Nothobranchius furzeri: one gene and its partners. The protein of the gene in region 3 purifies or fractionates together with the protein of the main gene of each other region. This does not show direct contact. Links are inferred from orthologs where the notes say so. Each region holds a gene or a part of one and is shown on either strand. Other genes may lie near its edges.

What was found. The genes of interacting proteins can lie anywhere in the genome.
Region 1: the proteins of dhx9 (region 3) and heterogeneous nuclear ribonucleoprotein D0 purify together in Homo sapiens (affinity purification with mass spectrometry; 3 studies listed by BioGRID and IntAct, with this or other methods). This does not show direct contact. The link is inferred for Nothobranchius furzeri from reciprocal best matches to the Homo sapiens genes DHX9 and HNRNPD.
Region 2: the proteins of dhx9 (region 3) and nxf1a purify together in Homo sapiens (co-immunoprecipitation; 4 studies listed by BioGRID and IntAct, with this or other methods). This does not show direct contact. The link is inferred for Nothobranchius furzeri from reciprocal best matches to the Homo sapiens genes DHX9 and NXF1.
Region 4: the proteins of dhx9 (region 3) and c1qbp purify together in Homo sapiens (affinity purification with mass spectrometry; 3 studies listed by BioGRID and IntAct, with this or other methods). This does not show direct contact. The link is inferred for Nothobranchius furzeri from reciprocal best matches to the Homo sapiens genes DHX9 and C1QBP.

What each region holds. Positions count from the first base shown.
Region 1 is NC_091746.1:62,891,133-62,899,238, reverse strand, and holds the start of heterogeneous nuclear ribonucleoprotein D0, read left to right. Parts: upstream 1-3,772; 5' UTR 3,773-3,993; coding exon 3,994-4,163; intron 4,164-8,106. Other genes in the region: enoph1 (enolase-phosphatase E1), read right to left, coding at 2,465-2,566, 2,706-2,797, 3,020-3,104. UniProt on the Homo sapiens protein: Binds with high affinity to RNA molecules that contain AU-rich elements (AREs) found within the 3'-UTR of many proto-oncogenes and cytokine mRNAs.
Region 2 is NC_091741.1:88,146,690-88,154,795, reverse strand, and holds the start of nxf1a (nuclear RNA export factor 1), read left to right. Parts: upstream 1-3,772; 5' UTR 3,773-3,891; intron 3,892-3,995; 5' UTR 3,996-4,004; coding exon 4,005-4,065; intron 4,066-5,106; exon of another isoform or gene 5,107-5,308; coding exon of another isoform or gene 5,309-5,336; intron 5,337-5,397; coding exon 5,398-5,460; intron 5,461-8,106.
Region 3 is NC_091751.1:34,763,077-34,770,434, reverse strand, and holds part of dhx9 (ATP-dependent RNA helicase A), read left to right. Parts: intron 1-1,618; exon of another isoform or gene 1,619-1,712; intron 1,713-1,792; coding exon 1,793-1,839; intron 1,840-3,001; coding exon 3,002-3,138; intron 3,139-3,626; coding exon 3,627-3,716; intron 3,717-6,224; coding exon 6,225-6,386; intron 6,387-6,480; coding exon 6,481-6,558; intron 6,559-6,629; coding exon 6,630-6,821; intron 6,822-7,358. UniProt on the Homo sapiens protein: Multifunctional ATP-dependent nucleic acid helicase that unwinds DNA and RNA in a 3' to 5' direction and that plays important roles in many processes, such as DNA replication, transcriptional activation, post-transcriptional RNA regulation, mRNA translation and RNA-mediated gene silencing.
Region 4 is NC_091750.1:66,119,540-66,127,132, forward strand, and holds c1qbp (complement component 1 Q subcomponent-binding protein, mitochondrial), read right to left. Parts: upstream 4,019-7,593; 5' UTR 3,865-4,018; coding exon 3,624-3,864; intron 3,368-3,623; coding exon 3,217-3,367; intron 3,146-3,216; coding exon 3,049-3,145; intron 2,947-3,048; coding exon 2,851-2,946; intron 2,762-2,850; coding exon 2,636-2,761; intron 2,565-2,635; coding exon 2,415-2,564; 3' UTR 2,035-2,414; downstream 1-2,034. Other genes in the region: carbohydrate-responsive element-binding protein, read right to left, coding at 450-781.

The DNA of each region.
Region 1 (8,106 bases), on a different chromosome or scaffold from region 3:
AATTCCTATGTAAATATTTTGCATATTTAATGCAAAATCTAATTTTTCTGCTTTAGTGCTGCAACAAGGTTTTATTAATAATAAATTATTATACCTTTTGTTTTACTACAGCATCGGTAAGCTTCCTGTGCACAGATTATTAAGGATGCTTGTTTCAGCTGTGAGATTAGACGATAGGATCAATGAAAAAATAAGTTGTCACACACTCCATGGAAACTTTCAGAGAATCCACAAATGGTGGCTTTCACATGGTTTTGTTACTTTTAAAAAGTTTAGAAAAGCAGCAGATGAGACAGCATGTCTGATCATTTAGTTTTTCATCTGATAATATTAGAACATGTCAGTAATGTCTGAGGGGCTTTTATAAACACTGTATAACTAACACTACTGGAGAGGGTATGAATTACACAGAGGCTTCTGGGGAGCCCAGTTATGGGGGGGGGGGGGGGGGGGGCATTTTGCTTTGGCCCCCAAAATGTCTTGAAACGGCCCTGGGTGTGTGACTGAGTTTTGAAGGTGATCTGAATTGTATCAGATGTATAAATATAACATGTGTATGTATAACTTATTGTTTTTTACAGGTAAAAACGTGTAGTGGAGATAAATCTGCCTACTTTTTACTTTTCAACACTTTGTTTTGTTTTCTTGTTTTTATTTAACTATTTTCCTGTCCTGTCTGTCTCTCATCTTCCTGCATCTCCTCTTAATTCTCCAGAAAATCTGTTGCCTGGATTCTTACCTTTTCACCTCATCAGTTACTTTTGAGCAGATCAAAGGGATCTCCTGACCACACAGCGGAGAGCGCGTTTTCGATGCTGCGTGAGGTGAAATCACCACAGCACAGGTGATGAGCTCCGCAGTAGCGCGCTTCAGGCACAAATAAGACAAAATAGAGAACATGTGCGGACATGAACGATCGTGTGCTAATTATAGTTTTTTGGTTGAACCACTTTGAGAATGGACCGTGCGCTGGAAGCAGCTGCCTGGATCGCTGCACAACAATGCGGAACCGGTTCGCAGCAGCGCAAGTCTGCCGGCTCTCCCTCGCGCTGATCTGCCGGTACCGGCTCTCCCTCGCGCTGATCTGTGGGCTCTCCCTCGCGCTGATCTGCGGCTCTCCCTCGCGCTGATCGGCTCTCCCTCGCGCTGATCTGACTTGCTCTGGTCTGCGCGCAACGGCGGGCGGGAAGGGGGGGCGCTTTTGGAAGAGTTGTGCGACACAACGAATCGATGACGCAATTCGTTGCCAACGCTTTTAGTAATCGATTTTCATCGAATTTATCGATTCGTTGTTGCAGCCCTAGTCCCTAGACAGCTACTGTATTTTAAGATGGTGGATGACCATGGAGCGTCGACCATAGTTTATGTATTTAAAAACGTATAATTTCAGGTTGAGAGGAATATTTAGAATTGATGTTGGTGAGAAATATTAGTGAAAAAGGACAAGTTTGTCAACTGTAAGCACAGGATTTGATAGTAAACTGGTAAAAACATCACACTGTGGCTTTAATCATACCTTTTTTTGTATATTAAGTTTATTTAGACAAAAAAAGTAAAAAAAAAAACAACTGCATTTGTTGTTATTTGAGTGAATTTGGTAGACTTTTATTTTTATTTAATAACTTAAACATTTATTGCTAAATCAAAATGCATTAGTTGTTTTTTAAACTAAAATGTGTTTTCTTCTTTTTTTTCTATTATCATTAAATGCTTATTACAATTTCTCATGAGACAACAACACATAATAGAAACATACAAGGCATCTTTAGTAACAATAAAAGAAAAACAAATAAGAAACTTAAAAAGAGGCACTTATATCACAAAGTAAAAACATTGTTACAAGATTAAACATTTTTCTGCAGCATGACAAATGGCTTTTGCAGTTGCATTTGAATTTTTTATACGAGTCAAAGTGGATAAGAACATATGGAATTCATTTGTGAAACAGTTCATGTTTGGCAGTTGTTTTTTCCATTTGCTTTTGTGGATGTGGTATTTACCCATAATAATAATAATACTGTTAATTAACAATGAATTATTCCCCTTTAATTTAGAATTGTAAATAAGAATATCTTCATTTGTAAAATGATCAAGTTCTCTTATTTTATTTCTTAACCAACAATGGACTTCTTCCCAAAACCTCTTACTTATATGACAGCTGAAAAATAAGTGTTCTATTTCTTCAGGGCTTCCCTGACAGAATTCACAAGGGTCAACTTCAAAACCAAATCTCTTCCTCAGTGTCTCTGCTGATGGATAGTAGTTGTTGAGAATTTTAAATTGCATTTCTTTTACTTTGGGCTTTATAGGCCATTTTATAAATTGTAATTGTTTTTCTTCAATTATTGGATTTCCTTGTATTTTTATTTTAATCTTTCTATCATAATCATGATAGATATATTTTTTAAGGCTCCATTTAAATATTTATTTTCACTTTAATTTCACTTTAAGGCTTTAATCATACCTGTTTCTTTAGCAAATGCACATCTTGTTTGCACTCGTCTTCCTCCCAGTGAGTGGACAGGTGATCCTCCAGATGCTCCCTGATGTAAGGAAACAAAATATCCTGGAAAAGTGACAAAGCCCGGAGTGTATTAGTTTTCAGTTGTTAGAAACAGGCAGTTTTTAGCCGTATGCAACTGTTAGCTCTTTACTTAGCATTACGGTTGGACCCACCTAATACAATAAAAACAAATGTAACTCACCTTAACGAATGTAATTGGTGTAGTGGTTCCCTCGATGTCCAACAAGATTGTTGTAGTGCGAGCAGGAATAGAAACAGTGGCCATTTCTGTAACTAGAATAAAACACAAGGATGGTGGAGGTTCTTATCTTAGCTAACGATAGCTTAGCTTAAATAGTGTGGTGTTACAGCGAGGCTCTGTTCCCACGTGCGTGTCCAGGTCGAATACCGCAAAACCGAGATTATAAATGAGCAGGAAATGGCTTTAGTTGATCTCTGCTACGTGATTATTCAAGCCATTACTTTAGCGAACACACAATGCAACAACTAACTCACATGTTCCGGTCTGACAATTCACCTCCAACTCACTAGGTGACGATACTGAGTATTTTAATAGCAAGGACTCATCATTTAAAAACATATTTTGAACAGTTTACAATTAATAATATTTTGTTTTGCATGTCAGAAAATAATTAGAATTCATTGTTACGTGTGTGCTATTTCTTTGAGGGTGTTAGCTGACTAGATAAATATTCTACGTAAAACACACACACCGTATATTTTCCATTCAATTTTTAATTTTCTCTTTACGTTCACTTGAAATTATAATCTGCCGTTCAAAGAACGTTTATTTTAACCGTGTTTAATGTTTACACTTAGATGTTGTATAGGTTACCCCGTCTGAAACTGTTCGCTGCTGTCAGCATCAGCATGGTCGTCATAGGTGTTCCTCGGCAAATATATTTGTGCGACTGCGAAGACAAAAATGTTAGGTGAAGAAAATATATAACTTAAATTATGTACTTTTTGATGAGGCGAGTCGGATGTGCGATAAAGCTGTGTGAATCTCTTTACATCTGAACCGAACACAAGGGGGCAGGGCAAAGCCAGTGGGAGAAACAGTTTTCAACGGGGTCACACATTTCGACGTAACACCGGCACGTTTGGGTGACGCTGTTCCCGGTTTGGTTTCCTAATTCATCCGTTTTTAAAACAGAGAAGAAGAATCCGGTGACGGTGATAAAAAACGACACAAAACGACGCTCTTATTATTAAAATAACATTTGGAAGATAGTTAATTATCAGTTTAAACGCTTTAAATTTCTGTTAATCAAAACCTTAGATGTTTCCGTGAAGAAGCTACACGGTTTGCGTTTGCTTCGTTTTTTTATCTGATGGTATTTGATAATAAATATTAGCTAGCCACTAGCTATCTGTAGCGCAACTTCTATTTTTTTGTGAATTTGTATTTTCTCAAAAATTCCCGGTGCCGCTTTAGTTAAAAATTAGGTGCCTGAAAAAACCAAAATATGTCGAAGGATTATGAATTCAGCGAAGGCTCGAGCCTGATGAGAATGGAGGAGGATGGAGATGCTAACAACGACGACCCGATGTCCGCTAGTGGGGACTGTGGCCTGACGATGGGAGGCGAGGCCGAAGGGTCGAGGATTGACGCCAGTAAAAACGAGGAGGACGAAGGGTATGTTACTGTTCCAGCTTCATAACGCGGTCATTTATTATTTCACTCTCAGTCAAAGCTTTTGGACTTATATGAAGGATATACAACATGGATGCTACATCTGCATAAGTACATATAGAGACAAATTCAGCAAGGAAATCGGTAAGACTTAATACATTTACACAATTATAAAGATGTTTATGTTGAGTAGTCAAAGTGAGAATAACGGGACACATTTCTTTAGCATGTTGTTGACTCTGCTGTCTCACTCCGTTTAGATATAACCATAATCAGTTGGAATGCAAGAAAATCAATGCTGTGATATTTCATGTCACTGAATCAATATTTCTCGATGTTTGTAATTCACAATTTAAATGTTAACATTTACTGTAATTATTTTGTTTGATGCAATTCAAACTCTGACTGCTAGGTAGCAGCAGTTTTACTGCCTTCATTCTGATGGAACGACAAGATCTCGAGAAAACGCTGGATGTGTCTTGAAAGCGTCTGGAGTGATTTAAAATTAAATTCAGTCTTTAAAATAGCTAATCATGTGGCTTTTAGTATTGCATTATATCGTATCATCTCCCCTTTATTGTGATATTTGTCATATTGTCAGATTCTTGCCCTAATAACATGGTTATTTGGAGGAGGGCTTAAGGAGAGACACTGCACAGTCTCCCCTTAAGACCTCAAGTTACTTTGGTGTTAGGGCTGGGGGTAAACGATTAGTTTTAAAATGATTATTCTGACGATTATTTTATCGAATAGTTGACTTTTCTAATGGCGATTAATCTAATTATTATTTGTCTATTGCACAATTAATAAAAACCAGAAAATCTCAAATAAATTCTTCAAAAAAAGTGATCAACTGGTACTGTAAGAGAATAGAAGAAGAAGAAAATATCATTTCTATAGTGCCTCTCAAGATAAAAATCACGAGGCTCTTCACAAAAACAAAAAAAAATGTAAAAATATAAAAAAGCATTTAGAAAATGTTTTAAAATACAGGGTTTCCCTTACATAGGCGTAGCCGTGGCGGCCCGCCATGCGCTGTTTCCCGAAGAAGCAGCGGGAACTACTATGTTGTCGCTTGTGATCACAGCCGGCGGGCAGCAAGAAGAAAGGAGCAGGCAGAGCAAGGTGACGTTACAGCATAAGTTACTGAGTTTAAAATTAGAAAGGTAGCAATGGATATAATGCATTTTGGTTTACATGTTTCAATAGCAGTAAGATAAACAAGTGTTAACGATCTTGACAGGGTTTCCTCCAGTGCTTATTAGGCAAGATTTTCCTCCCTCCACCAGGCTAAGCATCACTTATTCATGTAAAATTTATTTATTTTTTCATGTCTGACTTTAACCGCATCTAATACTGTATTACGGCGTGAGCGCAACAGCGACAACTTAAGATCGATGTGTGAGCAGCCTGAGAGGTCGGGTGTTTTCATCTGAACCCTTAAAACCTCCAGCAGGCTACGCTGCACTATTGACGTGTTAGCGCGCTAACAACTTAGCAATGTGACATGTCTCGGAGAAAGCGTAAAAACACGTTGGACGCTTCTTCTGAAGCGGGAAAATAACGCTTCTTCTTAAGCAGAGCATGACGTTGCCTCGGCTCTTCACGGCCGAGCCGGTACCGGACTGGGCTCGGTAACTGACCCAGCACAGCCACTGGGTCGTTGGAGCTGCCCCGTGACTGCCTGATGGAAAACCAGCGGGTTTCATCAGACTCGTAAAGTTTCTTGTTTTAGCTGGGGACCCCCTGTATTTTACCGCTCCCTCCTGCAGTCTTCCCCTTTTAACATTTAAAACGATTCTGTAAATTCATGTATCAATAGAAACAATCTCTGCCTCTGCCAGCTGCAGTAAATGTAGTTTCCAAATAATAAATAAGAGGTGCGTTCATCTGTGTATCTCCTTTGATCCGCATTAGTGATATCCTCAGCACCAGAATAGTGATGTGTCGGTCGCGAACGAACCGGCTCTAAGAGCCGGCTCTTTGAAGTGAACGACGGGAGCCGGCTCGTCATTGGGAGCCGTCCCTCCCCCCTCCCCCCCTGCCTTGGTGAAAGCTACAGGCGATTGGTCAACATGTGTAACTGTGTGTCCAGACTGTCCACACACAGAGCAGTAGGGGCGGGGAAGAGGGAGGATCAGACTCAGACAGACACACAGCAGAGCACATGCGGGTGGAGGGAGACGAGAGGGAATGAGGAGGAGGAAAAAGGCGAGCGAGAGAGAGGAGAAAATGAGCGCCAGCAGTAGGGAAGTGGAGATTTCTTAAAGTGTTCAGTTATTAAATCAATAGAAATTATAAATATTTGATATATTGCTTTTTTACATTAGTAAATTATTTTACATATAGTTTAGTATTATTTTGGTTATACATGTATTCTACGCAACAGAAAATCTGAGGAGCCACTTGGGAGCCAAAAGAACCGGCTCTCTAAAAAGAGCCGTATTTCCCATCACTACACCAGAACAGTGAAGCAAAGAAAGATTCCTGAGTTTGTTAGTAATTTTATTTATTAGGTGCAACTGACCTGTTCTATTGTTCTCTGAAATGAGATCAAATCAGTGCTACTATGGGTTGTCTCCAATCTGCACTGGAAAATTTACTTTATTTAGAGAAGTGTCATAATTTCTCCCCAAGCCTCTATTGATACACGGAATTTACAGAATCATTTTAAATGTTAATAGGGGAAGACTGCAGGAGGGAGCGGTAAAAAGAGCCGCAATTTTCTGTTGCGTGGAGTACATAGTGAATAAACACTACAGGCCTTCCATTTTGTACAACACTGTACAACACTGCTTTTACTGGTTATGTTCTGGTGACATGTAAAACATGGAACTGCAGGCTGCTGCCTGAGAGGTGGTTGGAGACGGAGTGTCTCCATGCTGCTTTATTTTGGTCACTTATGTGCGTGAGGCGAGTGGTGTTACGACCCTTCCTGGGGAATTGGGCTCGTGTGCAAAAAGGAAGGGACAATAACACGGGATTTATAAGTTTAAATGATGATCAGGTTTATTTACAACAACAAACATAAATCTTTCCATCCACAGGTTGGGAATAATAAAACTAATTCTGCCTGTGGGGAATTAAAACAAAAGTACAAATAACTAGGAATGTCACACTGGGCAAAGATTACTGAGTTCTGGACCAAAATAAGAATCTCCAAACTCTAAACTGGGTGGTTAAACCAAACTCAAGGTAGGGCTGGGCGATATGGCAAAAGTAGAATATCACGATTTTTTCAATATTTTATCACGATTTCGATTTTATCACGATTTTTTATCCATGAATAGCATGACTTCAATTGCGTATTAAAGAAGAGAAACATTGAATAAATAAACATTTATTCATATTAGGGATAATCAACACAGTGCTAACACACTTATATTTTAAACTCACACCAGAGATGATAAAAGCCCTGAGAGAAACAATTACAAAAATCAGTTTTTCTCGTTTTTCAAGTAACTTAACATAAATTAAAATCGTAAACATATTTAAAGTGCAAACGTGTCCATTGCAAATGTATTGTGCAAACATTAACTTTTTCAAAATACTATGTAGCTCCCAGTTGCTCATGTAGTGGATAGTTAAGCTCAAATACGGCTCTGATGTGTGGCTGGACCAGAGATCGCTTGTGGTAGCAAAAAACTGCGAATTCTGAATATTTTCTGCAACTCTCACTTTGCATTCAGCGTACATGCATGGATCCAATGTTTTTATAATTTTCTTAAATCCCACTCCTACTGTTCGCACGGGACACAAATCTTTAACCAAGTGGTACGTCACTGCGTCGGTCACGCTGTTCCATCGTCTGCTGTCTCTGTCGTAGGGAGTGAGTTTTGTGAGTGTTTGTTAGCGTTTGCTGCCTGGAAGAAGCACTAGCTGCTGCAGCCGCAGGCTTTTTAGCTTTAGCTGCCAGCTGGCTCTCATTGTATTGTTTGGGATGCTT
Region 2 (8,106 bases), on a different chromosome or scaffold from region 3:
TGACTAGAATAGTTGAATTTTGTTTATTAAGTAAAATATGTTAAGAAAGAAAGTCGTGTTGTGTTTGAATGTATGTGTTGACATTCTTTCTTGATTTCTTTTTTTTTTTTATAGGGAGGGTGTTATGAAACCCAGTAAATTGAGAGCCTTGCTTTCTTGCTCAGCTCTCTCTTCACCACGACAGGTCGGTTTAGCGTCCGCATCACTGCAGATGCTGCTCCAATCCACCTGTCGATCTACCGCGCCCTCCTTCCCTCATTCGTGAACAAGACCTCGAGATACTTAAACTCCTCCACTTGGTGGACGACCTCTCTCCTGACCCGGAGTTGGCAAAGTACCCTTTTCCGGTCATTAATTAAGTCTGTGGAGGAATTTCCCCATTTTTTCAACAGCTGTGGGGGAAATCTACTGAGTTTTCCGGTGTCAGGAGTTAAATTTGAAACGTGATCGTGTTTTTATTATTATTTATTGCTTCCATTCTGCTTCACCAGCTACTCTTTGAATTTTACTGCTGCCGGTTGTTTTGGATGTCTGCTAATGTCATTTCCTACTGTGTTACAACCAATCAGAGTGAGTTAACCGGAGGTTCCACTCAGCTACTCTACCGGGCGTTCAGAGTACCTACTCCAGAACAGGTACTCAGAAGATTCCTGAAAGCATCCCGAAAAACGGCCGTTCGGACGGCCCAGTCAGGTGGAGGCACACGCATGTCGGGAGGTTCCTGTAAATCTACCCTGAAGTTCTTGTAGTGGAAACATGCCTAATGTGTATTTTCCCTGGTAATATGGGGCGGTACATACCTAAATCATTGCAAACAATTGGTATTGTACTGTTCGAGTAAGACCTTACCAATGGATGGCCATTGGGGTAAAAAAAAATCCCTGGGAGTGCAACCTCCAGCAAAACGACATGAACATCAGACTCCCTTTCATCACCGGCAACGAGTGAAGAGGTAAATGTGTAAAACAACGTTTATGAATGGCAAAACATTTGTAACCATTTGTTTCATATCAGTAAATGCAGTTTGTCCTCATGGGCTCCCGTATAAGAAAACATAGCATCTAATATGGCGTCACCCAGAGACTTAGACCCACTCCCGTTTATTTTAGTCCCAATTTGTATGGATATATTTTAATATTTTTCAACAACTGGGCATCATTTAATTCATTCTCAACAACATTTCAATGGCTGTAGGTTAATGGAAGAACTACACATTGTCACTCATTTGCTGCTGTGGCCCCCAGACTCTGGAACTCTCTCCCCCTGAGCCTGAGATCAGTGGACTCAGTGGTCTCCTTCAAAAAGCATCTGAAGACTCACTTGTTCAAGCTGGCTTTTGTATGACCTTCTTCACCCCTCTCTCTTTATTCTGCTCTCCCCACCTATTCCACCTTCCTCAGGATCCACTGATTTTTCCCTCTTTCCTATTCACTCTCTCTCTCTTTCTTAACATTTTTTCTTTTAAATCCCAATTGCCTATTTTTGCTCATTTTAAATATATTTTTAAACATTTTCTAAATGCTTTTTTATATTTTAACATTTTTTTTTTGTTTTTGTGAAGCACCTCGTGATTTTTATCTTGAGAGGCGCTATAGAAATGATATTTTCTTCTTCTTCTTCTTCTTCTTCTTCTTCTTCTTCTTCTTCTTCTTCTTCTTCTTCTTCTCTCCAGACAACAGGGGGAACTCAGAGCTAGTCTGTTGTTCTCCCAGGCACAATAGCAGCTGCTTGTATACTCTTTTAAAGCCCCTTTTAGTCTCTCTGGTTTTGAAGTTTGGAGCCCAGATCCAGTCTGTTGATGGTTTAGAATTTAGATTTGGCCTGTTGTGCTCTTTTGTTTTTTGTTTGGCTTTAGCTAAGAGTAACCTTTAGTTATGTCCAGAGGACTTATTGTTTTGAGCTGTTTTGAGTAGTTGGTCCTTTAGATAGTTAACTGAGTTTTGAGCCGCTGCTCTATTTAGTTACTGCGGCTTCCTCCCACAGTCCAAAAACATGACTGTTAGGTTGATTGGTCTGTCTAAATTGTCCTTAGGCGTGAGTGTGTGTGTGCATGATTGTTTGTCCTGTGTTTCTCTGACTTGCCCTGCGATGGACCAGCACTTTGTCCAGGGTGTACCCCGCCATATTGCCCATTGACCGCTGGAGATAGGCACCAGAACCCCCATACCCCCCCACCCCACCCCACCCCCCCGCGACCCTACATGGACAAGCGGGTACAGACAATGGATGGATGGATGGATGGATGGATGTTCTATTTAGTGTTTGAAATATTAGTTTTGAATAGCTTTCCCTCCCTTATTATTAGTAAGGAGGTGCCCTGTGTTTAAAGTTTTCAATTAACCATCATAGTTCCTTTTTTATGGGACTCTTTTATTTAAAATATGAGTCATTGGTTGGTTCCCTTTCACCTTTTAATCCCGTGTTATTCCCTCCTGGACCTGCTAGACCAGATAGGGGTGTAACATAACCAAATGTGTTTCTAAAATCTTAAACTTCTGTCACAGATGTCTGCTGGACAACGAGTGGGATTTAAACAGAGCTGAACAGATATTCAGTTGAAGGTAATGCAAAATCAAATTTTCCTATTGCGATTTTCTTTACACAGATGAATATGGTTCTGATGGTTTTTTCCATTATTGATCTGCAGAATTTTATTTGAAAAAACATTTCAGGAAGTTGTCACACAAACTCTGAGAAGGTACAACAGCGCCAACATTAACAGGATTAATTAAACAGTTTAAAACATTAAAAAGGACCTGAGGTCTGTGGCTGTTTGTTGCCACAAGCTGAGACATCAACTGGGATTTAGCTAGTTTTACAGAATTATTAAAAGTTATTAAGCATCTGCAGAGACACATGCAAGCCCATTCTTACACATAGCATCCTACTGGCTAGATATGATCAATGACCAAGAATCCACCTGAGGGAAAACATTTTATATCATCAATCTGATATGCCAAATGCCATTGGGCTTATTCATAAATGTTGATATATGCTAAACAATGACGTTATCTGAAAATTTGGTCAAACAACATAAAGAAGAAAAAGGGATTTTCGGGTGTTTGTCGCCTCCTGGCGGTTGATCTCTTTTACCTAATCAACATAAATGCTAAACAATAGCTGACATGTAGGGGTCAGTTTGTGTCAAGTATTAGTAGGTTTCTAAAGAAGAAGGTAGCTAGGGCTTTGGGGGCATGGAGAATTCAGACATCATGCCACAGACTCAATACTTCAATTATCATCTTATCTGCATAAAATTTCGTGAGTGTCCGTATACTACTCACAGCCACGGTTGTGACACTAGGCCGGAGTGACACCAAGCGAGGGCTAGAAGACGCTGGTTGCAGCTTTAATTTTTTCTTTCTTCCTTTTCTAAGTGTATGTGCTGCTGTAGCAAGTGAATTTCCCCACAGTGGGATTAATGAGGTCTATTCTATTCTATTCTATTCTATTCTAAACACATTTATCAGACAAGAATAAAAATATTTTTTATGTTTTTTTAAACATTGTATTATTTGTTGGAAAATGAAGCAAGAAGCAAACAATACGTTAAAAAAAATGTAAATCTCGGATGATCTTGACATTACACCTGCTGGTCTCTGTCGATCCCAGCAGGTGGCGTCACGTCATTAACTGCGTGCATAGGAGGAAAAGTGTGGGACAAACACAACCTAACATCTTAGAGGGAAGAAAATTCACGTTTTAGTTAAAATATTATGAAACTGGGGGAAATTATTTTGAGCGTCAATATAACCGACATATATCGATGGTTGTCAGACTGTGCTTCTGAGTGTAGCTCGAAAACCGCCATGCTAACGTAAATAGCTTGCTAACGCTAACATCTAGTGGGTTCCGTTCAAAAGACTAAAAACCGATAAACCCGTTTAAAGTGTAAGTTGTAATTGTCTCGCGCTGCGCACATTTGAGTTGATTCTTTGTTTTTAGTAACAACGTATTTCAAACAACAGTGTAAGATTTATCTGATTTTCTACTAGATTGGCCACATGATTCCGATTTGGAAAAGCTACTCCAACTTAGCCGTGGTGACACGTGTGCTAAATGATGGTAAGTGAAATAAATATTTGTCCCAGCTTTGTTTAGTCTTTACGATGTCAACATTATTTTCATTTATTCTTATGTATTGTTACGATTGAGTCGTTCTAAACTTAGACGTGACTAACGGTTTGATTCCTCCCCGCTGGAGCACATGTTTCTCATTTCCATGGTCACATGTTAATTTCAATGCATCTGATAGATAATCAGATGATGTATTGTTACCATTAAAGACTAGATTATATGGTCACAATTTAAAATTCCAATGACCTTGATAAAGTTGCTCATAAAATTTGTATAAAATTCATGTTTTGCATGAAAAATAAGGAAATAAAAGTATGTGTATGAGGAATATGGTTTTCTTTTAGTTACCGATATGGCTCGCACTAGGGCTTACAAACAGTAACAAACACAGAAGCCGGTGAAATCTCAAAAACTTAGTTGGATATGAAATACTCAGCAGCAATTGAACTTTACTTTTCTAAATTCAGACTCACTTTGGTCTGTTCTGCATCATAATTTCTCATGAAAGGTTTAAGATTGTTTGCTGAGACATAAACAATGTTAATAATTTATATTTCTGCATTATAAAGGCATCTGTTACTTGACGTTTATTGGTTATTGTAACTGCAGCTTGTAATGTATTGCTCTTGTATTTATATTTATTGACTCAGTATATCATCTACTGAAAATTAAATTACTGTTGCAGCATCATCATTTTCGTGTTAACAGATATCTTAAAATATTTTTAAAATGAAAGTTTTTTTTTTTTTAGTTTTTAGTTGACTGAAGGTTAGGCACTAACATTTTGTTCTATTGAATACTTCTGTTCACTAGCTGTGGAAAGGGAGCCGATTTGAGTCCAGAAAAAAATACCTAGTAAGTGCAACTAATAGTATCGGCATAAGCTACAGCTAACGAGTTTTCAAATGTATTCGTATAAATATGTGTTACGACCGACTGGCTTTTCTCTTGCGCGAGTTATATATTTGAATTCCAGGGGAAATTATGCCCCGGAAACGGAAGTTGAGCAAACGTATATTTCCGCTATGACCTCAACTTGTTAGCAGAAGGTGTTCGCTAAGCTAAGTTACTAGCGAGTTCGAAGTTCACTTCGTTCAGCTTCTACGCTATTTTTTTTAACAGGATTTAGTGTTTGAGCTGTTTTTAGTGTCACTGTTCTGTGTTTTGTGAAAGAAAGGTCAAAGCCCGCGGGGTATTTTCACTCCGTAATTCCCCCCTTCAGTAACGCAACATGGCGGACGGCGGTCATTACTACAACGGTAAGAAACATGTCTGTAGCATTAACCTTTTATCTGTGCTGTTGTCACCGCTTTTCTTCAGACTATGGAGATTTTGTTGTGAAGAGAGAGGTCTCAAGCACAGGTCTCACGGTGCAAGAAGCAGGTAACGTGAGATCTGCTCACAGATGTTTGATCAGTCCCGTTTTAGATATAGATTGTTTAGTTAGTACTTGTGTGGTGGTTTCTGGTAACTGTTAGTTACCAGTTAATGGTCCGATTATTCAAAACATGTAATACTCCTAAGAGAACGATCAAACGAAGATATGAGGTCTTTTAAAATAAACAGGCTAAAAATGAGCTTTAACATTTTTAATACAATCTTTTACATTTTTATTTCCTTTTATTCACTGCTCCATAGTCATGGAACAGGTTACAGGAAAACTGGAAATTAACCAAACTTATCTCCTTGAATACATTTCAAACCAAATTGAGAACACTTGAGATTAGGGCTGCACGACATTAGGAAAACCTGCGATATTCGATAACAGTGCTTAATATTGCAATATCGATATTACTCACGATAAATGAACAAATACTAAAGTAGGGCTGCTCGATTATGGCAAAAATAATAATCACGATTATGGTGACTGAAATTGAGATCACGATTATTTAGGACGATTTTTCAATTTATGTTGATTTTATTTGTTTTTATTCAGTCATAAAATTGCTCAGGGCACAATCAGGACAAAAATAAGAAACAAGATGATCACTAAAAGAACTCCTGATTCCCTGTATAAAAGACCAATATACTTATAGCTCATAGTCTATGACCCAAGGGCTGTAGACCTTGGTTTAACTCATTTAAGTCTAACCAGTACAGAACCAAATACCAATATCTTGCAAATACTGACAGCAAGAATTATACAGTGGCATTTATAACAAATAAATGCAAATAAATTGATGTTCACAAAATGTTGCATAACATTTATTGAGTTGTGTCAAGGTGCTGTAGGAGAGTGCACTAGCACGGTGTCCTCAGAGAGATTAGTTATTATTTATCACCAGCGTGAGGAACTTATTTCTACCTTATTTACAAACTATTTATTTACAAGTCCATCAGTTAATGTAATAATTGTCCCAACCACAGCTGCACCCCCCAACCCGGTCTCACAGCAATCAGGGGCACGCTGCACGTGTGTTTAGTGCGCCGCACGCGCACATTTAGCTGTTTTTAGCGGCTCAGGAGTCCGCAGGTGCGGTGTGTGTGTCACTCACTCTGGTTACTCCAACAGGGAGCAGAGCGGCTCCGAGAGCTGTCTTTAGCGACCGACACATCACTACATCATTCCCTTTCCTAATGTCCTGAAGAACGGTCCGGAGTGCAGGCGGAGTGTTTAGCTAACCTGCAGGAAACGTCGACCACAGTTATCCAGAAAGTAGCTAAGGGTTACCAGAGATGTTTCTGAGATGTTCGCCAGGTACTTTTGGGATTAAAAAGTCAAGAAGGGGGTCTGAAAAGCTGCTAGAAATAGCGTCAAAGTCGCCAAGTTGGCAACACTGTGGAGGAGCGCTTCATTTGCAACTCAGGGCAGCGCAAGCGGGAGGAGCAAATAATCGGCTTGTTTTGTTTTTTATAATCGTTCAAAACTCAGATCGTAATCGTGATTAAAATTCGATTAATTGAGCAGCCCTATACTAAAGTATGCATTGTTGATGTTGTCTGGGGTGTGACGTCTGCTCTGGGTTCAAAGCAAACAAAAACTAATGCATGAATTCCATTACAACATATTTCTATTGCAAAAATATGCAGCTCCACCTGCTACTGTAGTAGCAGCAAAACAACAAACTGCATGCATGCAGTTTCTCAGTGACTTTAAAACATCACCACCACCATAAAAAATTTTCTGATGCTCCAAATACAGAAAAACATCCCTAACCAGGGTTTTTGAATAAATAAATAAAAATCAGAAAATTACTTTAAGTGTCAAATAATAGTTAACATCACTTAAATGCAACAGCAAATTCTCTCATTGCTACTGAACATTTTCTCCACTTATGTGGTTATGATATAAGGCTGTTGCTGCAATTGGGAAGTGATCTGTGCTGGGCCAAACTAGGAGAATATTAAGATTTTCTGAGGGAAAGAGAAAAACAATTGTCTACCTTTCAGAAGAGGAACTGGCAAAAAAACTACATGGAAAATATGTGAAAATGTTTGGTTTTAACCCCAAATTGAACAAGTTTACCTAGATCTTAAAAAGCAGCTCAGATGATGAAACTGCAACTATTATTCTGATAACAAGCTAACAAATTGAACTAGCTCCTCTTAAGATAACCGGCTAGCAGAGCTTCTGACTGACAGTTTATGTGCAGCAGCAAATCAACTATCCTGATTAACAAGGTTATGAAAGCTCATCAAGGAAAAATCACTTTGATGTGTGGGGGAACTTTTCCAGGCCCTCTTTAGCAGGGTGGGACTGGGAGGAGAGTGCTGTAGCCTTTTAGCTGGAAGCTAACCGGAGCCTGGGGCTAACGGTGGGTTGGTTCACCGGCACGTGTCGGAGTCAGCCCGGTTATTATCAGCTGCTTAACGACACAGAGCAGACTCACGTTCACGTTTGAAAGCAGCGCTGATTCCAGAAACCTCAGCACAAAGTGCGTTCGTTAATCTGAGCCAGCATGACGAACAAGGGAAGCGAGCGGCAACGGAAAGCGGGGGCGGAGCGGAGATAGTGGAATTTAGGGGTAAGGGTCTACGTAGGGGGCGGGCGTATTACGTGAACGGACCCATCTGATTGGCTGCATATCA
Region 3 (7,358 bases):
TGTGTTCCACAACAGATAAGCTTCTCTAGCATGATGACTTTAATTTCTACAGGTTATTGTTCAGCCCTCTGACGCTCCGTGTGTTTTTATTTCTGCAGTGAGACAAACTCACCTCACACCGTCCAGAGTTTGTTTTTTAAAGCTTCTATTAAATCCACCGTGTTGACGTATTTAACAAGTTTCCTCTACGCTGCAGGAGTTAAAGTTTACATTACGGAGTAAAAGTCCGGCAGACACGTTTGTTCATATCTGGGGGGTCATGGACGTAATTTTGGGGGGGACAGGGGGGACATGTCCCCCCCCCCCCACTTTTTCCAAAGTCAGGTGTTGACCCCTGCACTTTTTACCATCCAAAAACAGTATTACGCTATATTAAAGGGACACTGGTTGAGCTCTAGGACCAAGCGGAAAACCAACCGTTTGTGTTGAAGCCTGTTTCCCATTAGAGCATACTGTAAAGATACCCCCCCCACGTCTAAAGTGAAAATTACGTCCATGTGGGGGGTGTCGACTCGGTGCTGCACACAGACAGCTGGTGTGATCAGCTTTGAAAAGCGTTGATCGCAATTTGCAGATCCCGTTAATTTTTCACGGAGATCGGCCGCGGATTCCTCTTCCGTCGGCATTCTAGGAATTGAAACTAGGAATCGAAATAAAAAACGTTGAGCGATTCTGGGAAAAATGAACAGCTGGAACCGGTTCCAATCTATGCTCGATGCCCAACCCTAGAACCAGAAAAGCTTCTGCCGATCACAATTCAACAACAGATTATGAAAGAACGGATAACACTCGAAACGCGCGGATTCATCCTGATGTAAGAGGTGAGTCTCTGCTTTGTTTTGGTTGTTTTGGCGTCGACATCGTCCTAGCGCGCAATGTTCTGTGACTTAAAAAAACTGTAAAAACGCTGGCAGTGAATGAGTTAAAATACGATTCAACAGTAAAATTCATGTGGACCAGTTTCAAATCCGGCTTTTTTCCCTGTTTCATGTTTTTATTTGGGGTCTTAGCGGTCTCAGGTTCACCAGGTGGACTCGGACTTGTGGCGGTTTTAGCTGCCCCCCGTTAAGGCTGGTGGCACCCGCTGGTTCTGGACTCCAGTCGGGTTTCAGGACGTTCCTGTGTGTTTTTCTGCTGGACTGCTGCAAACCCAGAGACCTCCAGAGTGTGTTGGTTACACCAGAGAGCTCTCACTGTTTGGTCCAGAACACCAGAGGAGGCAAACGGGTCGGAACACGAGTCAGGACACGCGTTGTCAAGATTTAACAGTTATTTAAATTTTGTGTTTAAAACTGATTAAGTTTCAGAAATTTTGTGACATTATTAGTGACACTTAAGCATGAAAAGAAGTTGGAAACTGTCTGGATGTCAGCCATCCTCAGACCGTGTCTACCACATGTCGGCATCAGGAACGGTAACTGAAAAACAATATCCAGCTGTTTGGGTTGTTTTCTGGTGACTCAGGTGGATTAGGACTCAGGACCGGTGTGGCTAGAATAGTGAGATGACACCAGAACTCAGAACCGCCCTGAAAAAGACATGGGACAGCGTTTAGGTGTTCTAAATCTGTCCCATGGGTGCAGCTGGAGTCTGGTTGTGATTTCTGGTGTCACCGTAGGGCTGCAGACAGCCAGGAGATGCTGCTGACTGGTGTCTAATATTCCCAAAGTCTGGCAGGAAAACACACAGGCTTCCTCCTGAGAATGCCGCAGGTGAGTTTGGTTTAGCACCACTGTTAGAGGCTTTTACTTTGAAAAGCACCGGAAGTGAAGCTGTGATGTTTGTGTTGCAGGAGCTTCATCGCGGAGATGCAGTTGTTTGTCAGGCAGCTCGGCAGAAGTAAGACACATTTGATAACGTAGAACCTGATCTCAGATCAGCGCACGTGATTGATACTTCAGCCGTTTCCATGGTTACGGAAGTAGAATTACAGCATCTCAGTTGTTTTAGCACCTTTTATCATCAAATACATTAAATTCAGGAGACGGCCCTGGTCCTGGATTATCTCTGGTCTGGTTTGAGATATTTACTTGCGTTGTTGATTCTCTATACGAGAACGCCACAATTCTGGTCCAGCATGTTTTAGTTGTTTCCCTGCTTCAAAACACCTACTTTACAATCAACAGGTGATTAACAGGCTTCTGCAGAGCCTGATGAGATGCTGAACAGTTGACTCAGCCACTCAAACGGGCATGTTGAAGAAGACAAACAACAACACATGATGGATACTAAGGCCCTGTCCACACGTAGCCGGGGATCTGCCAAAACGTAGATATTTTTCTACGTTTTGGCCTGTCATCCACACGAAAACTGAGTTTTTTCACACGAAAACGGATCTTTTTAAAAACTCCGGCCAAAGTGAAGATCTGCGTTTTCTCCGTTTTGGGTGTCTGCGTGTGGACGAACAAAACCGGAGTTTTAAGGTCCGCAACGTCACTTTCCGCGACAAAAAAATGCTGACATCACGTGTGCGACCTGTGTTTACACTAGCCGGCATTACGGAAGCCTTCAGAGCTGCGCTCTGTCACTACCCGATCCATCAATTGTCCAAGCGCTTTCTGCTTGTTTGTTTTTGCAAGCAGAATTACTGCTCCTTGCGGAAGACCACAGACGAAGGACGAGGTTAAGAACGGAGGAAATACTGCCGCCTACAGGTCTGGCATGTCCTTAACAACGTATTTATCCGGGTACGTGTGGACAGAGTCTGTTTTTAAAACGCGGTGGTGTGGATGCAAGTTTTTGGAGGGGCGGATATTCGTTTTTAAAAAAACCCGGCTACGTGTGGACTAGGCCTAAGCCTCCAGGACTGAGAACTCCTGCTCTAAACTTTCAGAACCAGTCTGTAGGAATCCTGACACCTAGTGGTTACCATGGAAACATGCCCTAGTCTTTAGCGGCTAGTTTTAGCCCAGCGTAATCCAGAGAAAACCACTAAGGAATTTTTGTTCAGGACAGAAATGGACATCTGGTCCATGTTCTGATGCGTGTGTGTGTCCTTCAGAGATCACAGCTCGAGAACATGGCTCCAACAAGAAGCTTGCAGCTCAGTCATGTGCTCTGTCCGTGGTCCGACAGCTGTTCCACCTGGGAGTTGTTGAGGCCTATGCCGGGGTCACCAAGAAGAAGGAGGGAGAAACTGTACGACACACACACACACACACCTCTGTTTAGATGTAATTAAAGCTTGAAATCATGGATGGTTAGGGGCATGTTCTTTTGATTGACAGGTAGCAGATGAGCTAACAGCTAGCTTCCTGTTTGCTCCAGGGAAGGCCTCAGAGTCGCTCAACATGGTTTTCTGGCTAAAAACACCCCAACCTCTGTTAGATTTGGTTAGCTCAGTTAGCTCATTGCTACATTTGCTCAGTTTGATGGGTGTCATTCATCTGCACCCACCCTCAGCTCCATTTTTGTATTTTTCCGGGAGTGACGAGATGCAGCCAAGGTGGCGTTGGTAAGAACCGCCCACTGGGCTTTAGATCAGCTCCTCAGAAACGTACGGGTGAAGGCACGGAGGGTTTTCTATTATATCTGTACAGTCTGTGTTTCTGACATGCCTGAAATAAGCCAGAATCTAGAAGGTCTGAGGAATTCTGTGAGTTTAGCTGCGTGTGTTTTGTCTCCAGCTGGCCGTGTATGAGGTCAATGTGTCTCCGGAGCTCCAGCAGCAGCTGGCCGCTGTCGTCCAGGACCTTGAAGTCCAGATTCCTGCTCCGGTGAGTCTTTGATCCAAGTCTGCTCTTTTCTCCCATCCAGCCTAAGGTCATGTCCGACTGCAGTGATTCCCAACTGGGGGTATGCATACCCCTAGTGGTCCATCAGCGCATTACAGGGGGAATGTGGAAACCTATATTTCATTACACAGATGATGACCATTCCTGTGCCCTGGTAAAAAAAAAAAAAAAAAGTGCTGGGATGTGTTATGCCTAATTAACACTCAAAGTAATGCACAGTGATATATAGTTCACATTGGGACTGATTCGAATCATCGAATGGTTCAATTCATTAAATTTGTTTTTCACTGATTTGAAGCGTCGTTAAATGTACGCACCGCAGTCTGAACACATTTTACTGACACACAATGTGGTGATCTAGGTGCTGTGGAGGTACATTGTTACTCATATTAAATGTTATCATTTCCAGCAGCTCACTGCTGAACATGCTAAATAATAATTCTTCTGATCGTATGTGAACATATTTAGATGTTTGGAGTAAGATGAGTGATATCAAGCCTGTATTAAACTTAATTATAGTGATATATAAATCAAATGCTCCATAAAATATTTATTAACTGTAACTATCAGCTGAGAAAGAGGGAACTAGACGACACCAATTTAATACAAATGGTTGATCCTTTTACAATTTTGTTGTTTTATTTTCATAATTTTATCAGCAGGCCATAATCTCGTGTTTGTGGACTAGAGGCTGCTGCAGCACTAAGGAGAACATCCTCTGTAAATGATTCTGGTGACAGTTGAGCCGTTTCTGCGTTAACACCTTGTTAATGCTAATTCCTTAAATGCTGTTTGTTTTTTTTAACACACGATAAACTTTCAAACTCTCGTACATCTCCTGTGATTTGGTTTAAACCTCCCACTGTCCTAATGGGTGTGACCCCACGAGGAAAGTTGACCATTGAGCAGGGTTGATGGTTTATCCCTTGGCTCCATGTAGCAGGGGTGAGGAGTGAGCACCACCTCACCCCTGCCACGTGGACCTCAATGGATAAACCATCAATCCTGCTCAATGGTCAACTTTCCTCGCGGGGTCTCCCATAAAGACAGTGGGAGGTTTAAACAAGTTTTTATCCGTAGCTGTTTCTCATTACTAACGCTGGAGTTTGTGCCCTTCTGTCTCTGTCGGGTCTGTGAGAATGTAAAACAGCCTTTCAGACATAAACTTGTAAACAGAAGAAAATAAAACATCGTGATGCGGATCTTACACCATATGGCCCATTCCTACCACCCAAATAAATAATAACCCCTGTAATGTGATGAAGGAGCTATTCCACCGCAGGTTATTTACCCTCTCTCCTCGGTAAGAACTAATCTGCATGAGACTGCCTCAAGGACATGCATTTGCTTCTAAAACTGTTTCCTTTCCAGCTCAACAGAAGAAAGAAGATAAACTCTTTCTTTTTAATAAATCAAAGAACTCTATTTTTAATAAAGCTAATCAAACAAAGTGTTAGTCCAATAATAAAATGTGAACCAATCTGTGAAATGACAATGTTTAGGATCAGTGGTATTTTAATATTAATAAGTAATAAGACTTTAATCTAGCTGCACTAGACATCCTGATCCACATAATGCTTAAAGTCACATGACATTTTATCTTTCTCATCCAATCGGATCCTTCCTTTCTGAAGCGTGGCATGCTCTTTGTGGTGTTTATAAATCCGTCAAACTCTGATTCGACCGTAAATCAAAACATCCAGATTAATAAAACCAGTCCCCACGCCATCTTAGTTCAGTTCACCACATTCTAAGAGAAGTATCGGACCGGCCACCCGGACTTCCTTTATAAGCAAAGAATCGACAAGCTGGATAAATTCTGTTGCACTTTACAAACCAGGCAACGGTTCCTTCCAGAATAAAAGCTGAACTCACTGACCCTCAGGGTCCATCTGACGCTGTCAACCAACTATCGCTTTTTACCTGGAGACAATCCAAAGACTAGTCTGTCGTATCGCTGACGCTGTTTCATCGGCTCCGGTACCGGGGGGTCCGAGAACCTGGCATTCTGGATCTGTACGGAGGTCTCATCCTGAAGGGTATGTGTGGAGCGACAATATGGCGTCTTATGTGTTTATGAAACAACGATGGCTTAAGAGCAAAACATCACTTCCCACTCAGACTTGCTTCTCCGGATACGAGAGTTCTGATGACAACATCACTCACACATACACCATCCATCTCACGTCTCATTCACACCAAGATCCATTCATCACTTAGAGTTTAGAGTTAGTCTTGTTTAAAATTCTTTAAAATTGTGTAGAAATAAATCTTCTTAAACTTTTTAAAGGTGACTCTCTCTTCTCTTGTCTCTCAGTTAATACGAAGTGTTACATAATCCCTGCAATAAAAAGTTCCAATCTTCTGGTTTAAGTTATCCAAAGGTCCATTAGATTGATTTCATATTTCCTATAGAATTTCACATCTTATGGTTCATTAAATAGACGTACATTAAATCATTACCCCCCCATCCTGTTTGTTGTTCCCTAGCCCTCGGATCCCAGCTGCCCCGTGTCTCTGATCCAGGGCAAGATGGCCATGTTTGAGCCCTCTCAGCGCCAGAGCGCCGCCGGTGTCGTCCCCTGGTCTCCACCTCAGGTCAACTGGAACCCATGGACCAGCAGCAATATCGACGAGGGACCGCTGGCCTATGTAAGGCTTTACTCTGGACTGATGCTGGCTTTGTCCTCTGACCTGTAGCAGTCACCTGATCACTGTGTGATTCTAATGTGATCTAACCCACCAGTGCACCCCTGAGCAGATCAGTGGGGATCTTCACCAAGAGCTGATGTTCCAGCTGGAAAATGACGAGAACCTACAGAAGGTCTGTTTCTTCCTTGAGTGGAGTCAACTGTTAGAGGAAGGTGTTTACCAAACAACTCCCTTTATGTTCAGATCCTGTCAGAGCGTGAGCAGCTGCCCGTCAAAAGCTTTGAGGAGGAGATCATGGCAGCCATCGACCACAACCCTGTAGTGATCATCAGAGGAGCGACTGGTTGCGGAAAAACCACACAGGTCCCTCAGTACATCCTGGACAGCTTCATCAAGGGGGGCCGAGCGTCAGACTGCAACATCGTGGTTACCCAGGTAATGCTCAGTGATGACCTGTGACAACACGGTCACCATGGTAATTCTCTATTTAGGGCTTCAACCTTGTGGTTACCATGGTAACGCTCTTAAGATGGCCTGGGAGATGCAGAGGTGACTACCTGGAATCTGAGGATTGATGATTAGAATTTGTGTTTTTTAAAGCTTCAATCAGCTAATTTGTAGTTGATGATGATGTCATTGATGAAGTCATTACAGTAATCATCTTCTGGTCATTTTGCTTTGTTGAAAATTAAACCAAATCAAAACATCTGATCTCTAAAATTGCAGGAAATAACTTTTCCTCCTACACTGACATTTTGTTGATCAGCTGTTTGTTTACCTGTTTGTTTGTCTATCAGCTGTTTGTTTACCTGTTGTTTGTCTATCAGCTGTTTATTTACCTTTTGTTTGTTTATCAGCTGTTTGTTTACCTTTTGTTTGTCTATCAGCTGTTTGTTTACCTGTTGTTTGTCTATCAGCTGTTTGTTTACCTGTTGTTTGTCTATCAGCTGTTTGTTTACCTTTTGTTTGTTT
Region 4 (7,593 bases), on a different chromosome or scaffold from region 3:
AACCACTCTTTCACTATCTGAGCCCTCAGTCTTTTATTCTAAAGTCAAAATGTCCCCCTGAGGTTGTCATAAAGTTCCAACAGGAAAGACTTTAAACTAGATAAATAATAATGGAAGTGTGAGGTTGAAATAACAGGAGATGGATCTTTAAAAGTGTGGGGACTCTTTTCACGACCTTCCCCCTGTTGCCCTCAGTCAGTCGGTCCATTCCTGCCAACTGGACTCAAAGTCCAGCTCATGGTGAGGACTTTTCAGGCTGTTGTGCAAGAGACTGACAACAAACACAACTGCAAACTCACTTATCAGCTGCTTCAAAGGGAAAATAACACGTGTGCACATATTCACTCCGCTAGAAGCTGTTTGAGGCTCTTTAAAACGATTTTTACTACCAAAAAAAACCCCACCAAATTCTGGAGGTTAGAGAATAAAAGACGCGGCAGCGAACCCACCTGTAAGCCAGGGACATGCACTCAAACAAGCGGGTCAGAGTGGGGTCGATGCTCAGGCTCCCGGAGTGGTACCGGTACGTCTGACACCAGGTTCGGTTCACTGTGTCGAAGTCATACCGGAGCGAAGCGCCGCTCTTTCTCCGCCTGCGCGCCGCAGAGTCGCTGTGCGGTGACGACACCATGAAGTGTCCGCTGTGGATGACCTGGGACCCGGGGAAGGAACCGGCCGAGGGTCCGGCGACGCCCGCCGGCTGTGCCAGACCCCCTTCCAGCTCCGAGTCCGACTCCGAGGAGTCCTGCAGCCGGGTCCGGACGCTGCCTCCGCTCGCCATGGAGCTCGAGTCTCTGCGGAGGGTTTCTGAACTTTCCCCTCAGCTGACTCCCCCTTCCTCCCCCCTCAGGCTGATACTAGTGTCGGAGAATACAGCCCCAGAAGGAAAACACTCATGATTAATTATTAATAAACCAAAAATACGACTTTGATACCTGGGAAATATATAAAACTTAATGTGTACACAGGCTCCAGAGATGAAAAGCGTTTTCATTTAATTTAATTTGCTGTCAACACAAATAAGTCATTAAAAATGTCTAGAGACACTAACCTGGGAGGAACTGCCAGGGGCTTATCCAGGTGTTTTGTTAAGGTGGCTGAGCACCGGGTTAAAGCGAGGTGGGTCAGGTTAAACTGTCTTTCTTCTCTTTTAGTCATAAAAAAGTCACATGCATTAAAATCATAAGAATTAAAAAATTAGGATAAGGAAAAGTGTACAAGCACAATTAAAGTTCAGACATAATTAGAGTATGTAAGTAATGAAGAGCATAAAACCCAAATTAATTCACAAAAACACAACTTTTAGATAGTTTGCAGATGGATATAAAACCAAGAGCTATCTGTAAGGGAGAGCTCAGACACCCTGAGAAGAAAACTCATTTTGTCCACTTGTATATGCGATCATTCTTTCAGTCACTACCCAGAGCTGATTACAGCTGCAATCAATTCTCTCCTAAATTCATAAAACTATTGTGCATATATGAATGCTTGAACAGGGGTGAAGATTAATTCTGAAGCCACTTGAGCAGGACCATAAGGCTAAAAACAAAGAGAAACAGGATTCCTTCAGCTGTCAAGATTACCAGAAAGGTCCAACTGTCCAAACCCGACACTCAGGAAACTGACAAATGTCCCGCAGCTACCTGCCTAGAGATGCAACAGATAAGAGGCCAGAAGAAAACCGAAACAGCTGCAGAAAAGTTCCTGCAAAAAAAATAGCTTGTGAAACACTCCCGACCCCACTCACACCTCCGGGTGGTGCGACTGGATCCATGAATATACCTCTGCTAGCAGCTGTGTTTTGCTAGAACAGTGGCTTCCAATAATGTTCCTTGTTTGAGAGGTTTCTGTGCATCTACACACCTCAGATTAGTCAATAGCTGATTAACAGGCATCTGCAGAACCTGCTATCAGCTGTTGAATCAGTTGTGTTGAAGCAGGAAAACATGCTGGATAGTGGATTGGACACCCCTGTGCTAAAAGGTAACTGTAACTCTAAATGGTACCGGTGGCCACAGAAAAATTACATTTGAATTCTGGTATCAAACGGTTTTATTGGACAAACTTTCCATCTCTCCAACAAACATCACCTCACTCATTCGACAAAACCGCATCAGTCAGCAAAAACTCAGTTGCTCAGATCCGTCATAAATAAACAATTAAAAACGGAAAGAAAAACAGGTTAGTTGGCGTTTTCAGAAATCCTGACTTTTACGGATGAGCCAGGCAGTAAAACCCAGACTTCTGTAACTGGCAGTAGGTTCTCTCTCAAGTTACAGCCACACTTTACAGAAAAACTTAAACCTTTACTGACTAAGAGTAGTGTGGCAGCTGCTGGCGACCATCTAATCAGTCACTGAGCACTTTACCCTACAGCCTCCATCTTTATTAGGTAGAAACTATTACATTTGACATTAATTACATTTCACAAAGCCCTGGAGATCCTCCAGGAACTTGATGTACTCTTGATGCTCAATGGCGGTGCTCAGCTCCATCAGCTCATCGGCGAAGGTGTTGTCAACCCCGCGGTCAGCCAAGAAATCCATCAGGTGGTCATAAAGCGCCTGGAATAAACGGACTATGAGAGTAGCGTCCTGCAGCCTCATTAACTTTCTGAACCAGTCTCAGCTCTTACCCAGTCCAGGGAGTCTGTGTTGAGTGTGTAACTGGTCTCCTTCCAGTCCACATCCCCCTCTGGTTGGAAACTGACCTCCCGGATTGCAAAGATGTCGCTCTCCTCCTCCCCCTCGGCATTACTTACCTACAACACACAAATCCAGCAGGTTTCATTTAACTGAGACAGAACCGGCTCCTCACTATTTAGCATGTGCTTGTGTATGTTTGTTTTACCTCATCTTCAGGAAAATGACAGTCAAACACAAGGGAATGTTTAGCAGCTTGTTTTGTCACTTCAACAACAAAGTTGGGTGTTGACACAATCTCTGGCTACAAAGAAGGACAAAAATGATACAATTATAGAATTATAAAGTGTTAAAATCATTTTTTCTTTCCACGACCAATCAGGTCATAGATTGATGATGGGCTTACTTCCTCCTCTGCCGATTTCTGTGACTGCCCCTGCTCCACTGCCTCCTCCTCAAAGTTAGGAGGAATGCTGTTGTTGACATTGAACGTGACGGTGATTCTGAAATCAGACCACACCGTGAGCCCACACTGAGCACCACTTCCTCTCAGAACAAATCGTAGCATCCTTACTTGTCTCCAGAAGCATGCTTTGTGAGTTTCACCTCTGTTCCATTCATCCCCACCTCCCATCCTCCAGTCATTTTAGGTAGACTTTTGTTTTTCTGGATTACCTTCTCTTCTTTGATCTCATCAGACAGGAAGTCACCAAATGCTTTATCGCCTGAATAAAGTGAGGGCAAAAATGATAGATCTGTCTGAATTAGCATCAACACCTTTAAAACTCCTTTCAGAAAGACTAAATATGAAATGCTGCGTATAAAGTTCACTTAACTCGCTTAAGTAAGACAAGTGTGTGTACTTGAGTGTTTACATGTGTATTTAAAACCTAGAACTTCATGTTTAATTACGTTGTAAATCTCCTAGCTTGAGGCTAACAAGCTAGCTGATTAAGACGTTACTTTAAAACGTGACCTTACCTTCTGTGTGCAGTCCTTCACATCCACACGACACAGAAGGACCCAACACCTTTGAGCTGAACAGTTTGGGTCTGTAGCCTGATGACGCTCCGTTATTATTCAGCATCCACAGGGAGCGGGTGAACGGCCGAATTGTAGCCGAGCTGGGAGCGCACAGAGTCGGGCAGTTGATTGGTAAGGCCCGCGAGACTGAGGACAAGCGAGCAGCGGCTCCCGCTACGCGGACAAACGACTTCAGCATAGCGGTGTGCTTATTAAAACGCTGTGTGAGAACAAAATAATTTAATCTAACGCCCCTGAAAGCCCCCTTAGCCACGCAGGTTACGGCTGCTTCTTCTGGAAGATACAGGAAGCACGTGGGGAAGGACACAGCGACCTCGCGTCACTGCGACCTCTGAACCGGAAGCAATGTTTTTTAAAGCGATGGTGACATATTACATCAGTCAAATGAAGCACATAATGTACAAATGATAAAAAAAAACACATCTAAAATATATTAACTAATCATCAATTCCTTATTTGAATACTGCCCTTTGTGCCCAAGCGGAAGATTTTAAATGGACATATGCATTTTGGTTTAACAAGCCTAAAAAAAGTCCCAGTTTGTGATGACACAAACAGGGAATTGGGGCAAGGTGGAAGAGGACTTAAGTGTCTGCCTCATAATTGGAAGGTTACAGGTTCAAACCCCGCTCAGCTGGTGTCGGTCATGTTGTGTCCGTGTCACATTACCTGCTGGGGGTGGTCAGAGTGACGCCTGTGAACTTCAGCCTTGCCCAGGGCAGCTGCAAGGCTGTTTCTCCCCGTTCGCTGACTGTGAGAGCGGGGAGGTTGCGCTGACTCCCAGGTGCAAGGGAGATGTACTACCAATGGAGCAGCAGCAACTCTACCTGAAACCCCCATGGAGCAGCAGCAACTCTACCTGAAACCCCCCTGAATATGAGGGCACCTCAGGTTATATTAGCCTGAGTAGGATGGATGTTTTCTTAAAGTGAGGCTTGAAACAACTCACTGTCGAAATAAAAAAGCTGAAATCACTTCATGTCAGAAGAATTTTGTGCAAAGAACTTTATAAAGATGTTTGTATGGACAATGGAACTACGATAACCATCTTCTTTAAAGGGACAGTTCACCTTTTTTCAAGCGGAGGTCTGTGGAGGTGTTGTGAACAATTAATATCTGAGCTGCTGTTGATGGCAATTGGGCTGACCTCAATTTAGAGGTTGTGTTCAAATTGGAACTAAGCTGTTAGCGACCTCTTGACCCCTGTACTGAGACACTGTGTTTACACACGCCTGTATTCTCCATACCAGTAAACTCAGGTTTGATTACCAGCTGGCTGATACTTCCTTTTCCACACAAAACTTTTCGTTTTGCTTTTAATACCTGGTAAATATCTGGCCTTTTCAGCTTTGTTATGATGCATTAAAATCTAAAAATGTAAGAGGGTGGACTTTATGTCACGAGTCTGTGACAAAACTTTAAAGTTTCTATCTGGAAACAAAGCTTTCAGGCATTATAGAAACACGTCGTAAACAAACAAAAATGATAATCACCTTGTTGAAACATTTCTTTCATTAACTGGTTTACTTCAACAGTTGGAATACTTTTATTAGAAATTATAATAGTTTATATGAAAACCTGTTCTACTCTAATTAAGCTCATTTAATGTTTGCCTTTATTCTACAAACTACATGCAGGTAGGTAAAGTAGGTTTTCATTTGACTTACAAACAAGTAAAATGCAAGTGGATCTCAGAGAGATTCCATCAATTATAAATGCAAACATTTTTGGTTCTAAGCAGGAAACTGAAACGCACGTGGTGCCTCTTCAAAGATATAAACTATTTATGTGACAACATGTTGAAATTAGAGTATATGTTGTACAATCCTGAGTGCAGAGTAAAAAAGAAAAGAGGATCCCTTCATCAACATGATGTGACCTTCTAGAGCAGGGATTCCCTAAGTGTGGTGTGGTGCGCGAGCTGCCGCTAGGGGGTGTGCGAGGTGAAAAGTGTAATGGCTGCGGAGCTCAGAGAAGTCTGTCATATGTCACCATTAGCGTAGCCAGAAACTCATTTGTGGGTGGGCCTAAGAAAAAGTAAGTGGGCCCAATAAATGCAACTGAAAACAAGTATATTTTGTGTGTGTGTGTCCTCCGCATGTGACCTAGCTTCATAATAATGCGCTCCGAGCTTCAGCGCTCTGGCCTGCACACGCTGTTAATAGCAAGATATGTTTCGTATTTGATCATTTTTATCGGTGTTGGAGAAATCTGAAGGTGGTGAGTCATTCTGGCAGACTGTAATTTACACCCTGTCTCATGCAGGTGTTCTGACATTGTAAACCTCACACACAGAACATTGTGGATGTAACTGAATAAATCACGAAATGATTCCCATCTGAGCATTTTAGCATTATTATATTATTATATTAGCACACTGACTGTGGGACAGCATTCTAAACGTGTCAGGCTATTAACAGCACGCTGAAGATCTGAAGTTCGGAGTGCGTCTGTCAGAGGTCAGACGCGTTCCAGCGGAACCACGGCTCACAGGTGCACAAGTGAGCACATCTGGGCTGGGCAGAAGTCATTTTACAACATTGGTTTAAATAGCGCCAATAACGAGACGCGGTGACTGGAGCGGCTCATGGAGCTGTGCCGCACACACACACACACACACACACACACACACTGATTGAACAAGCGAACGCTGCACAAACTCCGGCCCTGGCTGTGCCGTCAGACTGAAGGCAGAAATGAGCGCTGCCTCCTCCGTGATAAAAACTTTTAAAAGGTTTTATAATAACATTTTTCATTTGAGGTCAAATTAAGATATTAGCTTCTATTTTGGGATGACGTATGAAATTCGAGTCCGCTCCAGCCAGCAACTCCTCATGAACCTGACTACAACTCATGTTACTGCAGCATTTGTTATTCCAGTCCGCGTGGCAGCGGATCGCAGATTCAGCCACACCATAAAACAGCAATAAGTCGGTCTGAGGCAAAAGTGAACCTCATGGCTATAGCTTTTCCATCTTTTCCCCTATAGACATTTGATTACGCACAAGTAGGTGACCAGTTCAGGTTTACGCAGAGCAGAAGGAAGAAGAGCGCTCTTGCCACAGGTTAAACGTTCCTGCCTTAAGAAAACCGTTAAATTGCATTTTTTATGTGCTACCTGGGCATGGGTACACACACACACACACACACACACACATATATATATATATATATACATATATATATATATATATGTATATCCATGCCCTGATGTGGGGCTGGGGGGTGCGTCGACATGGTCGGGAAATAGAAGGGGGTGCGCGGCTAAATAAGTTTGGGAACCACTGTTCTAGAGAGTACCAAGTGATCAGATCATACACTGTAATCATGCACTATATACATTAGCTGCCAGCGTCAATGTCTGGGTGGAGAGTTTAGTTAAATATTAGTTCAGCAGGAGACATGAGACATCCTTCCTCCTAACATGCACTCTACTTAGAACTAAACAATCAACTGCATGCACAAGCTAACATAGCAAGTGTTGTAGTCAGCTTTTATAATAAAATCACACCTTAGTGGCATGCGAAATACTAAAAACTAACTTATTTTGGTATTTTCCTTTTATTTTAATGAATCTACAGTCTGCAGAAGAAACAGAACTACCTGGTATAAATGTTTAACAACAAGGATTTTCAGGCTAATTCTGACTCAACTCTTCTGCTGCGCTCCAGTGAAGTTTTGAATGTTATTAAACTACATGCACATCTATTTTAAATGAGTTTTTTTCCACATAGCTATGTAATTAGATTAATTCCTGTCAGGCAAAAGAAAAGAGCCTAGAAAAGTTAAGAGGAAGCCAACGTTGTGGGACCCTGCTGTGCAGATTTGCAGAACAATAGCGACACGTGCCAGATCCACGTCATCTGGGAGGTAGAAGAGTCCGGCAAAGTTTTCAACACAGAAAACG